Oryzias latipes: one gene and its partners. The protein of the gene in region 1 purifies or fractionates together with the protein of each later gene. This does not show direct contact. Links are inferred from orthologs where the notes say so. Each region holds a gene or a part of one and is shown in the gene's direction. Other genes may lie near its edges. The genes, in order: pin1, polr2d and raf1.

Region 1 (4,118 bases):
AGCTTAGTAAAGGTCAAGTCAGTGCGTCAAAAGGATACAGTCACCGAGAGACACGTGATCCTTGAAGATGGTGTACCTATTAAAACAAGAACACATTTTCTAAGTAAAGAAGCCAAAAAGGGCAATGTTCATTGTGATGCAAAGAAGAAAAAGGCAAAGGAAGGCAAAGTTACCATTTCTTTAGTACAATTTTGTCATATCTTGTTCCCGTCTGTGCTGCAATTAGTTTCTTCAGGTCTCCAATTGTGTCCTCTGAGCTGTGCAAGGATGTTGAGGAGCAATTTGGTGACGTGGAAAACCCTTCAAAACAAACACTTCCAGCTTTCATGTCCTGAATGTTTTCAGTCTTTAGATTTTAAATAGAGCTGCATGATGGTGCAATGGGGAAGGCCCTGGTTCCAAACCCTGCTGGGACCCTTCTGTGTGGAGTTTGCTTGTTGCAGAGAAACCCCATGCACTCCGGCTTCCTCCCACAGTCGAAAATACATGATTCATAGGTTACCTGGTTATTCTAATGTAGGCCCAAATGGTTATTCTAATGAACCCCAAATGGGTTCATAAGGAAAGGGTCCATCCATAGCACGGTTACTGTGCTATGGATGGACCATAGCACAGTAACCCCCCCCCCCCTTAACTAATCAGAACCAGCATGTTGCAGTGCAGTATTAACAGCCAAAACATCTTTAGCAGATCAGCAAATCAAATGTGTTCAGAAGGATACTTGCACTTGACCCGGACTTTCTTCCCAAGACGATCGTTGCAAATCACCTCAATCATCGTGTACTGTGAAAAAAAGAGGAGCTAGTAAGCTGAAATATTGGAGTTATGAACAGGAACGACATTAATCGTTCACACCACTAACATTAAGTCAAAAGAATGTGTAATTCATTTTGCGTCAACAGCAGAAACTAAATTGACGATGAAATTCGACCAGCCATGATTTTTTTAGCTAACCCGTTAGCTTGTGCACACAACTCTTTTAAATATATAAAACATAAATTAGATGGCGCCTATTAAGATCAACTTAAGGTTTCAAAAATGTTGCCAGACGTGTTAAAAAGATCAAAAAGTGTAAAACATACGTTAAATGTAGCCCAAGATTGATGGATTTTCTTCACTAGTTGAAACCTTCTGGAAAGCTCTCGGTGCTCATCACCGTAGAATCGATGTCGCGTGTTATTGTCCTCTTAACCAATTAGATAGTAAGAAATATGATTGACAAGAGTTGAAGACCAATAGTAGGACGGACAAGCCGTTTGGGGGCGGGCCAAACTCAGAAAACAACTTTTGCCGTAAACCGACTGTCGTACCTGCTGAGCCGTAGCCGTGTCGCATCGTTTGAACGTTGAATTCTAACTTGATAACGTTGCAGCAGATAACATGGCAGACGAGGAGAATTTACCGTCGGGATGGGAGAAAAGAATGAGCCGTAGTTCAGGTAAATATACATAAGACGGGGGAGGCTGAATGTATGAGCTCAACTGCAGCCCACGAGAAGTTGATTTAGCTTATAGCTAGCCCGTGCATCGTGGTAAGCGAGGCTTTGTGAACTTGTTTCAGGTGAGGCTGTCCTGCTAATGCATGCATCGGGGTTACCGACACGGTTTCTATCAGGAAAAGTGCCGCTGGGAAAATACGGTTATGCTACGGTTTGCTTTATAACTAGCTTTTCCCCCACTTTTTTTTCTAATGGAGATGTTCTGCAGGGCCGCCGTTGCATGACGTCACCTGGAATTTGCGCAGACGCAGCTTAGACCTGATGTCTTGAAAGTATTTTGTGAATATATACGCACAGTAAAACTGACAATTTGGGGAATATTTTGTAAACAAGATCACTTTACATTTTTTTCATATATAGGTAATTATTTAACTTTGAGAAATCTACTAAACTTTCAGATCCCCCCCAAAATGTGATTTATTTCTGCAGATACGTCTGTTTATCTGATTTCTCTTCTTCTTTTACAGAAAATCTGTTTGGGTAGATGATTGCCTTGTAAAAACTTTAGGTGTTTTTTTTTCTGTTTTATTTGTGTGTTTCTTTTCAATGGAGTAAAAAGGAAGGATTGCAAAGGAACAGCTTTTTGCAGACCTATAAACTAAATTGAACACTGTCAGCAGTTGATGCATTGGTTTTATTCAAAACCATGCAACTTCATGACCAACTACTATGAAACAACAATAATACCGATACGGGGAATTGTGAGTGCTTTTGCAGTTTTAGTGGGTAAGGTCATGTAAACTGTAATTTGATTTTTGTGTCTTCTAATGTCTTGGATCATTCCAAAGGTGCTGATCAAACTGCTTTCTTTGCTGTTTGTAGGCAAGGTGTACTACTTTAACCACATCACTAATGCCAGCCAGTGGGAACGTCCTGTGGGAGATGGCCGTGGAGAGCCAGATAAGGTGGACTTCATTTTGTGTGTTTTATTAGCAATACATTTAGGATTGAAATCATAATAAATTCACTAAAGAAGTATTTGTAGAGCTTGTGATAGTGATGTACCGGTAATGATTAGTTTTAATGACATTCATATTAGGGCTGCACCATATGAGGAAAACTCGCCATATTAGTGATCAATATTGCGACGACGATAAAACATTCATGAACAAATAGCAAAACGACTAAAAACATCATTTCCATTTTACTGCAACAGTTTAATTTAAATAAGAGTCAACATAACTTAAATTATACTCCAAATGACCCTCGTCTACATAGGAGGCGAACGTCTAACCTAAGAAAAGCTTCAAAATAAATAAATAAAAGAGCCCCATCTGATTGGTCAATTTATTTGATTCGTTAAATACTCCAATATTTGTTTTAGCACATTTAAAGTAAACATTTATTGCTATTTTTGACGACTTTTGCAATATGCGAATTGCACAGCTTGAAATTGCGATAATGATACATTTGCGTTTTGTTGTGCAGGTCTAATTCATATGATCACTTGTGGTTTCCAGTACGATTTTATGGTCAATATTGGTTCAATCTAACTAACACTTGGTTGTTATTATGTTATAGTAAAGTAAACCGTCCCTTAAGCCAAATGGTATTTCCCGATATGGAAATAATATATTTATTTTAATTTGAAACAGTTTTATAATGTAATAGATCGATTCAATTAACAAATGCCTCAGACAGATTGTTCTGCTTGGATCGTAGGAATATAAATCGATTGATTGATCAGGTCAATTAGTCATTACACCCCTGCACAGAAACATTTTATAACACTTTCTAACAAATAGGTGATGATGTATTGTGTATCTTTTTGTGTTTCCTCCTTTCTCTCTCTCAGGTGCGATGCTCCCACCTCCTAGTAAAACATAATCAGTCTCGACGTCCTTCTTCCTGGAGGGAACAAAATATAACACGAACTAAAGAAGAGGCTATAGAGCTTATTCAGAGTAAGTAAGGCAGAGGACAGAAACACCAGATCTGTTTCAAATCTCTACTTAATCTGTCTTTTTTTTGGTTCTGTTTTCTAGAGTACATAGACGAAATCAAATCTGGGCATGAGTCTTTTGAATCTCTAGCCTCTCAGTTCAGCGACTGCAGCTCAGCTAAGAACGGTGGAGATCTGGGACTGTTTGCCAGAGGTACCAACATCATAATGGGAATATTGGGTTTTCTTAGTTTTAGTTCTTCAGCTTTTATGTAGTTATAAGGTAGTATTGTCCTAATATTTACAGTTTTTTAAGTAAAAATGCTTTCTAATTTTAGTTAAAAAATGCTTAATAATTAACTCTGTTTATAAGGTTTCCTCTCCAGCAAAAGCCTCATAAACTTTTTTACTCTGTCTATTTGTTGGTCTCTCAACATTGCTTTGTTGCATTTGCCAGGACAATTCTTATCACTTACTCTGGCACGGGTTGTCTTTTCTGTTGAATCAACCCACAAATGCCAAACTGAAGAGAAATTACACATAATGCTTATATTATACGTATTAGAAAACATGCAATTTAGTTTTAGTCTTCCTAAAATACCCAATTTAGTCTAAGTTGGCTTACGTCTGCATGTTTGCATTCATGATCTACATTTAACTCAAACCTCATCACCCACCTGATTAAAAAAAAAAGATAATGACTAGTAGCACTAACAACTGTAAAGTTTATTAAACATA
Region 2 (4,375 bases), on another chromosome or scaffold:
CAAAGACATATCTTCCATGCCCCCATAGTCCTGAGCAGGACTACGGGGGCATGGAGTCCATTCCAGTTACTTCAGGGCATAAACAACATAACTCTAAGCACTTTACTAGACCATCAGAAGTCTATTCAAACTTCTTAAGGGACAATTTTAGAGTAGAGTACCTAATTTACCAATAAAACATGCTTTGAACCCCTTCAGGAACCTGAAGGTCTTGGAAAAAACAATGGACACACAAAATGTAAAAACCTCACACACATTCCAACCCTACCGTTCTGAAATTTGAATCACCACGCCACCTGGTGGAGTTGCAGGAGATTACAAAAGGTGAGAAAATAATAGTTGCTACAGATTCATTCTCAAGTTTACAGAGTTTCAGAAGTGTTTGCTACCAGTGTAGCTGTGAAAAAAAACGTGTGGCAACTTCAGGTGGAGTATAAAGACTAAAGTAAGACTAAATAAATAAATAAATAAAGTAAGACTAAATAAAGTCTGCATATGACCTTATGACCTGCAAGGAGCAGGTAGAGAAGCATCTAGAGAGGAATAAAGACCAGTCACAGCAAGATAATGTACCTACATGGAAATACAAGAAGCAATTGAAACTGTTGAAAACTAATAATGCGGATAAAGAACATTTTTAGTTATAAAATAAAGGTTTGTATTTTAAAGGTCACATGGTTAAAAAAAATACAAATTTTATATGATATAAATAACACTGACAAACATATCAGTAAGAAATTCAAAAGAGAGGGGAAAAGATGAATAAAGTTAAAATGAATATCAGGGACCAAAAATCTCAGCAGGTCTATGCTATGGCGAGCTCACATGGTCTTTTATTATTGAACACTACAAATGTTAAGTTAGGAACCTGTAAACATAAATGTAAAACAGTTAGAACATTTAGAACAAAAAATGAGATAGATCATCAAATAAAGACACAAGAAAGCAAAACAAAGACAGAGTCAACTAAAAAACACCTAAATATGAAGAGTTTTGATATAATTTAATGCCTTTAAAAAAGTTGAAACATTTTCTTGCTTTTTTACTTTTCATGAATTAAACAAATCTACTTAAGAAACACATTAAACAGTGGTTTGGTTTTTAATAATTTACTTTTATGAATATAAAATTTGCTTTTGATTGTTAAAATATTTTAAACTAAATTTAACAGACTGTTATGTGAAATTACACCAAAAAGAATGTTGTTCTTTTTTAATGAGACTTGAACAGAGGAATTTGAACACCACAAATGAAACTCATCCCCAAAAAGATTCAAAGTACATGCAATCAACAAGCAATTTCAACACAAAAATACAATTGTTTTCTTTAAATCTTTAACTTTAACATTTATTTACAAGGAAATAAATTATTTATTACAAGGGCATATATGACTGAACAGTTCTATCGTTGTGTTTGAGGGGAGTTCCTACACTTCATCTTCCAGGACAGTAGGTAGCAGAAGCGCACCATTATTGCTAGATGACACCCGCCTAAACCAGAAGAAAGCAGAGGAAGAATATCACCGGAAGTAGATCGGTGTTGTGACCGGAAGTTCCCCGAGCGCCGTTGTTCTCTGCACAGTTAACGTTCTCACCGTAGTCTCCGAGAGAAGCTGACGGAGCTCATCGGTACTGCGCGCCTCTGCGACCCGTGACTGTGACTCGACATGACTGCCGCTGGAAGCTCGGTTTCCTCGCACGTGGGAGACGTCGAAGAAGACGCGTCACAGTTGCTGTTTCCCAAAGGTGGCGCGCACAAATACTGTTTACTTCCGAAACTTTTTGTTAGGTTACAGTGTAACCTGTATTGGAAACAATTACGTTGCTATATGTGACCGATGAGGATAATCATCCCCTGATTATTAATTTATGTAAGCTGCATCACCGATTTGAATCTGAATATTTTCATTATACGACCATCATCATCTGTACTGGTTAAATGTTTCTCTCACTGACACACATGTATTGTGATCATCATGATGTTTGGTCCACTGATCAAGATAGAATTATTTGTTTGTTTGCTGAGAGTAAACTATAAGTTTAAATTTACATGGATTGCTGTCCTGGAAGGTCTGAGACTCAACAAGCTTCCTAAAATAGTACAGGCTGACTTTGATCAGCAGGATTTTTGTCCTACTTCTTGAAACAGGCCTTAAATTCCAGTCCACAATCACTGCAGGAATCCTTCTGTCTTTCAATCAAAATGGTTCTGGAGCTGATATTCTGTAGAATCTGAGCTCAAATTCAGTGACTAACCAGCCCCCTCCTGCTGTCTGCAGAGTTTGAGAACTCTGAGACGCTGCTGAACTCGGAGGTCCACATGCTGCTGGAGCACAGGAAGCAGCAGAACGAGAGCGCCGAGGACGAACAGGAGTTGTCCGAGGTCTTCATGAAGACTCTCAACTACACGGCCCGCTTCAGCCGCTTCAAGAACCGCGAGACCATCACTGCCGTGCGCAGGTAAGGATGCCCCTTCTGGTCCCAGGTCCTGGCCCTGATCTGGGTCCTAATGGCCTTTCTGTCTGTCTCAGTCTCCTCCTGCAGAAGAAGCTCCATAAATTTGAGCTGGCCAGTTTGGCGAATCTGTGTCCTGAAGCTGCAGAGGAGGCTAAAGCTCTGACCCCCAGGTGAGTCTGGACTGAACCGGACTTGTTCTTTTCACCCATAAATTACAGGGTCTTCGTTAACCAATCTGTGAAAAGATTCACCTGACATCAGATTATTCTGAACACCTTAGTGATTTTAGGATTTTTGGGAGGCTTGACTTTTTATTTTATTTTAACACTTTCAGTAAATTGAGTAAAAGTATAAGTTAGTCTGGATGCCAAGGAGATTTATTTAGTAATGTCGAAGTAACACTATTTTACATTAAGGGCAGACGTGTGCAGCTTTAATTGAATTAATTCAAAGAGAAAACCTGAGAGATTATCCTAAACTGGATCAGAAAACATTTTGGATCAATTCATCACAGACATGTAGTTTTATGCTGTTCTTACTTGTCAGGAATTGGTTTCTTGTTGAAATTATTATGCATTAAAAAATAGCAGATAAGTTATTTTAGATTGTTTAGTGATCATTATTTTTGTGAAAATATACAGTGGTGGACAAAATTGTTGGTACCCATCAGTTATAGAAACAAATTCCAGAATTCTCACTAAAATGACTTGAAATGTTCAAAAGTAACAATAAATTAAAATTTAATGAAAATGAAATAATCAAAATCAGCTTTTTAATTTGTTGATTGACAGAATTATTTAAAAAAAAAAAAAAGCTAATGAAATAGGGTTGGCCAAAAATGATGGTACCTCCATAACAGACTGAGAACTAATTGCCCAGGGGGTCATGATGAACTCAGGTATGTCCTTAAATTGACATCATAGCTGTCTTCAAACTCATAATCAGTCAGTCTGTCAACAATTTTGTCCACCACTGTATCTTACTGAGATATGGATCGTTTTGCAGGTGATGTTGTTACAATTCTTATCAAATAATTCATCGTTGAGAGAATAAAGTTCTGCCGGGTTCTGCTTCTTTTCTCAGTCTGGAGGGTCGCTTTGAGGATGAAGAGCTGCAACAGATCCTGGATGACATTCAGACCAAGAGGAGCTTCCAGTACTAAGACCAGGACCAGCAGCTGGACCTGAGACCTCCAGAACTCTCCTTAACAGAGGCAGCGTGGTTCACGTTCCACCGGGACCAGAAAAATCACAGAACATTTAATCCACCCACCACCCAGCAGAATCTTGATGTACTTTAAAGGCACACAAGATGCTGTTTGTGTGTCTGATTCTATCCGGTCTGTGGAAAATCCAGCACATGTTGATAAGAAAACTGTATCTGTGCTCTGCTCCTTCGGGTACCTATGGGCAGAAACTCAAATCCATCATCAGTGAGCTTATCCCGAACACCGCCCACTCGTACTGCCAGCTCAGACCTGCAAGACCACCTTCGAGTCAGAGTCCACGCAAAATTGATTCCCAACAGAACCTTCTTGTCCCAGGAGAACCCCTTTTAGTGCTTTTGTGTGGTTGTCTGTCCAAACCGCTTATTAGGAGCGGAACAGGGAACTGGATTTATTGTGTTGATTGAAAATAAAAATTTAAAAAAACTACACCAAGGAACAACCAAGCAAAGTTTGTAAAGCTCTTTTAACAAAAAGAATCACAAAGTGAGAAGGAGAGCCGGTGGACCATAGGGACAGAGGCAGGGAGGGATCTCATCAAATCTTCCAATCTTTATTACAGCTAAAGGGTAGGTAGGTGGTGAAACAGGAAAAGATGCAGCAAATGAATCACAGGTGCTGTCATTCCCTTCTCCACCAAGGATTCCTAGATGGATTGCTGTCCATTAAAAAAAAAAAGTTATATACACAATAT
Region 3 (3,588 bases), on another chromosome or scaffold:
TGGCTGAAGAGGAAAGTAGGTATTGTGCACTTCTCCCAGTCTTTTGTTGAGGTCCCATCTGAGAGTCCAGAACAGGTTAGAGAGCTGTGTGCAGTCTGACTGGCATGCCTTTACCTGTCTTCACATCTTATCGCCTGGGTTTAAAACCACACATGGCAGCATGGCGTGGGCTTTCGTAATCTTCAGTTTGAGTAAGGTTATTAATCCTAATTAAATGTGGCTTTTATTTTTCTAGGATGCAATGCGAGACCATGACTCAGGTAAGTCTGCTGCGTCACTCTTCCTCTTTTACTTTCCACATAATTGTCAGTCTGCGTACATACTGCTTCCTGCCACAGCCTCTTTTAGAGGAACCTGTTACAAAGAGAGATTTGATATCTGAAAACAATGCATTACACTTAAACAGCCTCAGCTAATCTTTGCCCGCTGGACTATTAATTTAAAAATAAATGTTTTGCCGTGCACCTGTGAGCATTTTTTCTGTGCTCGTGCAGCGGGGAGTTCACCTAACCAGAGCCCAACAGGCTGGTCCCATTCACAATCCAAGACCCCCACCCCTGCCCAGAGGGAGAGGGCCCCGTCCTTCACTGCTCAGGAGAAAAATAAAATTGTAAGTCACGTCGGCACAGACGAAAATACGAGCTTGTCACGTCTTATTTAAAGGTGCGACGTCTGGTTGGTTTTTTGTCCATCCAGAAGCCTCGAGATAAGCGCGACTCCAGTTACTACTGGGAGATTGAAGCCAGTGAGGTGTATCTGCACTCCCGCATCGGTTCGGGCTCCTTTGGAACTGTATACAAAGGAAAATGGCACGGTATGAGACATGCTCATCCCAGACTTTACACATATTCAGCATCAAAGAAGAAAGAAGCACGCCTCCTTTGATATGAGCTTAATTCATAGCTGTCATTCGCAGGTGATGTAGCAGTAAAGATTTTAAAGGTGACTGACCCCACACCGGAGCAGCTCCAGGCATTCAGAAATGAAGTGGCAGTCCTGAGGTAAATGGACTGACTGTCTTCCATCTGTATCAAACCTTTACCTAAACTGTATTTGCATTGTGGCATTTCCCTGTTTGTGGATTTGCTCCTCTTTGTTTGTGGGTGCAGGAAAACTCGACATGTCAACATCCTGCTGTTCATGGGCTACATGACGAAGGACAACCTCGCCATTGTGACCCAGTGGTGTGAGGGCAGCAGCCTCTACAAACACATTCACGTCCTGGAGACTAATTTCAAGATGATCCAGCTTATAGATATTGCCAGACAGACAGCTCAGGGCATGGAGTAAGTCACAAAAGGAGAACTCCCCTCGTGTTTCAAAGGAAATCTGTCTAATATTCCATTTTTCTATTGTAGCTATCTTCATGCTAAGAACATCATCCACCGGGACATGAAGTCTAACAGTATCCTTTCAGTTTTTTCACTAAAACGTGCAAAGTTCTGAATGAATTGTGTTTCCTTGTGTAAATCCTTGACAAAATTGCAGACATCTTTTTGCATGAAGGGCTAACAGTGAAAATTGGGGACTTTGGTCTTGCAACGGTGAAGGCCAGGTGGAGCGGCTCACATCAGGTGGAGCAACCTTCCGGATCCATTCTTTGGATGGTTAGTAACTCCATCAAGATCACAAGCAGTGTCCCAACAGCAGGATTTTGTTAAAAAAACAAAACAACAACAACAACTTAGAAATAGACAAAAAGTTAAATGATTCTTTTAGTGGATGCCAACTATAAAAAGCTTTCTTTCTTTTCTTGTGACTGACAGGCTCCTGAGGTTATCCGGATGGAGGATAATAACCCCTACAGTTTCCAATCTGATGTCTATTCCTATGGAATTGTTCTCTTTGAGCTCATGACAGGAGAGCTCCCGTACTCCCAGATCGCAAACAGAGATCAGGTAAAATCACAGGTATTGTAACATCCGTTGTGCACAAGAGTGTAAAAAAAAAAAAGATTGAAGAAATTCAAGGTGATATCAGATTCAAAAAGCCATTGCCAAAGAATCGCAAACTCACAAATTAGTTTAAGATGACCTGGAAAAGCCACGGTTGTGACGCTCCATTCATAAATTTTTTCCTCCTAAAAAACAGACATTTTCCAGAAAACTCATGGTGGAGAAAGGCTTAAAGTGTGCCGTCAATCACATCCTTCTTGTAAAGAGCCACTCAGATGAAAATGGTGTTTTTAGATTGTTCTTGTGGCATTTTTCCGATGAAACTTGCCTTTACCTTCCATATATCAATACAATTAAACTTGAAACTGTATTTCTGACCATTTCTTCATTCAAATTGATAAAAAAAAAGAATAAAAAGAACATGTTTGTGCACAACATCGAAGGGAAGGGGGGTCTGGGTTGCTCCATGCCAACGGTCCCGCCCACAACTCGGAGGTGAATTGCTAATGGACTGCTGTTCTGCAGAAACAGTCCTAGAAAATGACAGGTTTTCGGATTTTGCCAAAAAACGGTCATCATAGTTGGAAATGCTCTTACAATAGTTAAAAAATAATCAAAATGGGTCTTTAAAGGGACCTAAAGTGACAGAATTCTTTGACTTTGTCCCTTAAACATAATAATTAAGGATATCAAAGACAAAACTTGTGGTATCCTCAGACACAGCTAACCACAGTTTCAGTCAAACTTAATCTGAATCCACTTATTGCTCCCCTCATTGTGACATGTTTCTCTGAAAAAGTTTTTGTTTTGCATTTGGGAAGCGACATCATTAGGTACTTTAGACGAGTGTGGATCAGAGGTGGAAGCTTTTAATTAAACCTACAAAGCTCTGGTTTTGAAACGTTTCTGTTCAGTTATATTGTTGACGGAGAACAGAGGGGGGAAGTTGGAAAAACAGAAGTGACTCACGCGGCCGGCCGATAACAGACGCAAAACCACTTAGTGATGGGCGTGTCTGCGGCCGCACTTTTTAGTTATTTTCAGTTCTGGAAAAATACAATGTAAAAACGTAGTAAAAAAGTGATTAGAAACTATGGAATTTTTACTTTCACTCATGTGGGTTTTGGCCATCAGTTCTGCACTTCAGTTTATTTAAGGCTGCATGTTTTTTCATGTTCAGTTTAAACTGTATAATTTGTTTTTAAAGATAGATCTGCAGCTTTTACATGACTGCTCTTTGTAGGATGATCCAGAGAAAACTTTAATTGTTTTCATTAGCAGTTTTTTATGCTCTCTTATGCAGCATTTCAATGGTTTTGCCAGATTTCCTCCAAAATAATATTCCCATAATACATCAAATGTATGGAAATGAATGAACCCTCAGTTGTTCCTGAACTCACCGGTGAGTTTGCCAATCACATCGACTGTTTACAATGAGGCAGCGATGAAACCAACCAGCCCATTAGTATAGTTTTCATCAAAGTTTTTGAAGGTTTCAAAAAAATTTGAGCTTTGAAATTTCTGGTTTAAGACGAGCATAGGAAGAGTTATAACACATTATTGCGATACCCTCTTGGAATAAATCTTTACAACTTTGCATATAGTTCAGTGGAGCTTTTACCTCTTTTTGTAAAGACAATTTTCACATTGTTTTGACCTTGTATTTAATTTGTTTGTGGATTTACAAAGATTT

The links.
Region 2: the proteins of pin1 (region 1) and polr2d purify together in Homo sapiens (co-immunoprecipitation; 3 studies listed by BioGRID and IntAct, with this or other methods). This does not show direct contact. The link is inferred for Oryzias latipes from reciprocal best matches to the Homo sapiens genes PIN1 and POLR2D.
Region 3: the proteins of pin1 (region 1) and raf1 purify together in Homo sapiens (co-immunoprecipitation; 3 studies listed by BioGRID and IntAct, with this or other methods). This does not show direct contact. The link is inferred for Oryzias latipes from reciprocal best matches to the Homo sapiens genes PIN1 and RAF1.

The regions. Positions count from the first base shown.
Region 1 is NC_019859.2:22,494,265-22,498,382, reverse strand, and holds the start of pin1 (peptidyl-prolyl cis-trans isomerase NIMA-interacting 1), read left to right. Parts: upstream 1-1,279; 5' UTR 1,280-1,310; coding exon of another isoform or gene 1,311-1,335; 5' UTR 1,336-1,380; coding exon 1,381-1,438; intron 1,439-2,320; coding exon 2,321-2,403; intron 2,404-3,293; coding exon 3,294-3,402; intron 3,403-3,483; coding exon 3,484-3,594; intron 3,595-4,118. Other genes in the region: ubl5 (ubiquitin-like protein 5), read right to left, coding at 39-76, 174-257, 722-783, 1,083-1,186, 1,311-1,335. UniProt on the Homo sapiens protein: Peptidyl-prolyl cis/trans isomerase (PPIase) that binds to and isomerizes specific phosphorylated Ser/Thr-Pro (pSer/Thr-Pro) motifs.
Region 2 is NC_019878.2:10,414,479-10,418,853, reverse strand, and holds polr2d (DNA-directed RNA polymerase II subunit RPB4), read left to right. Parts: upstream 1-1,530; 5' UTR 1,531-1,666; coding exon 1,667-1,745; intron 1,746-2,278; coding exon 2,279-2,459; intron 2,460-2,530; coding exon 2,531-2,626; intron 2,627-3,539; coding exon 3,540-3,618; 3' UTR 3,619-4,123; downstream 4,124-4,375. UniProt on the Homo sapiens protein: Core component of RNA polymerase II (Pol II), a DNA-dependent RNA polymerase which synthesizes mRNA precursors and many functional non-coding RNAs using the four ribonucleoside triphosphates as substrates.
Region 3 is NC_019865.2:17,684,055-17,687,642, forward strand, and holds part of raf1 (RAF proto-oncogene serine/threonine-protein kinase), read left to right. Parts: coding exon 1-75; intron 76-235; coding exon 236-260; intron 261-494; coding exon 495-610; intron 611-696; coding exon 697-814; intron 815-916; coding exon 917-1,001; intron 1,002-1,109; coding exon 1,110-1,286; intron 1,287-1,358; coding exon 1,359-1,405; intron 1,406-1,488; coding exon 1,489-1,607; intron 1,608-1,766; coding exon 1,767-1,898; intron 1,899-3,588. UniProt on the Homo sapiens protein: Serine/threonine-protein kinase that acts as a regulatory link between the membrane-associated Ras GTPases and the MAPK/ERK cascade, and this critical regulatory link functions as a switch determining cell fate decisions including proliferation, differentiation, apoptosis, survival and oncogenic transformation.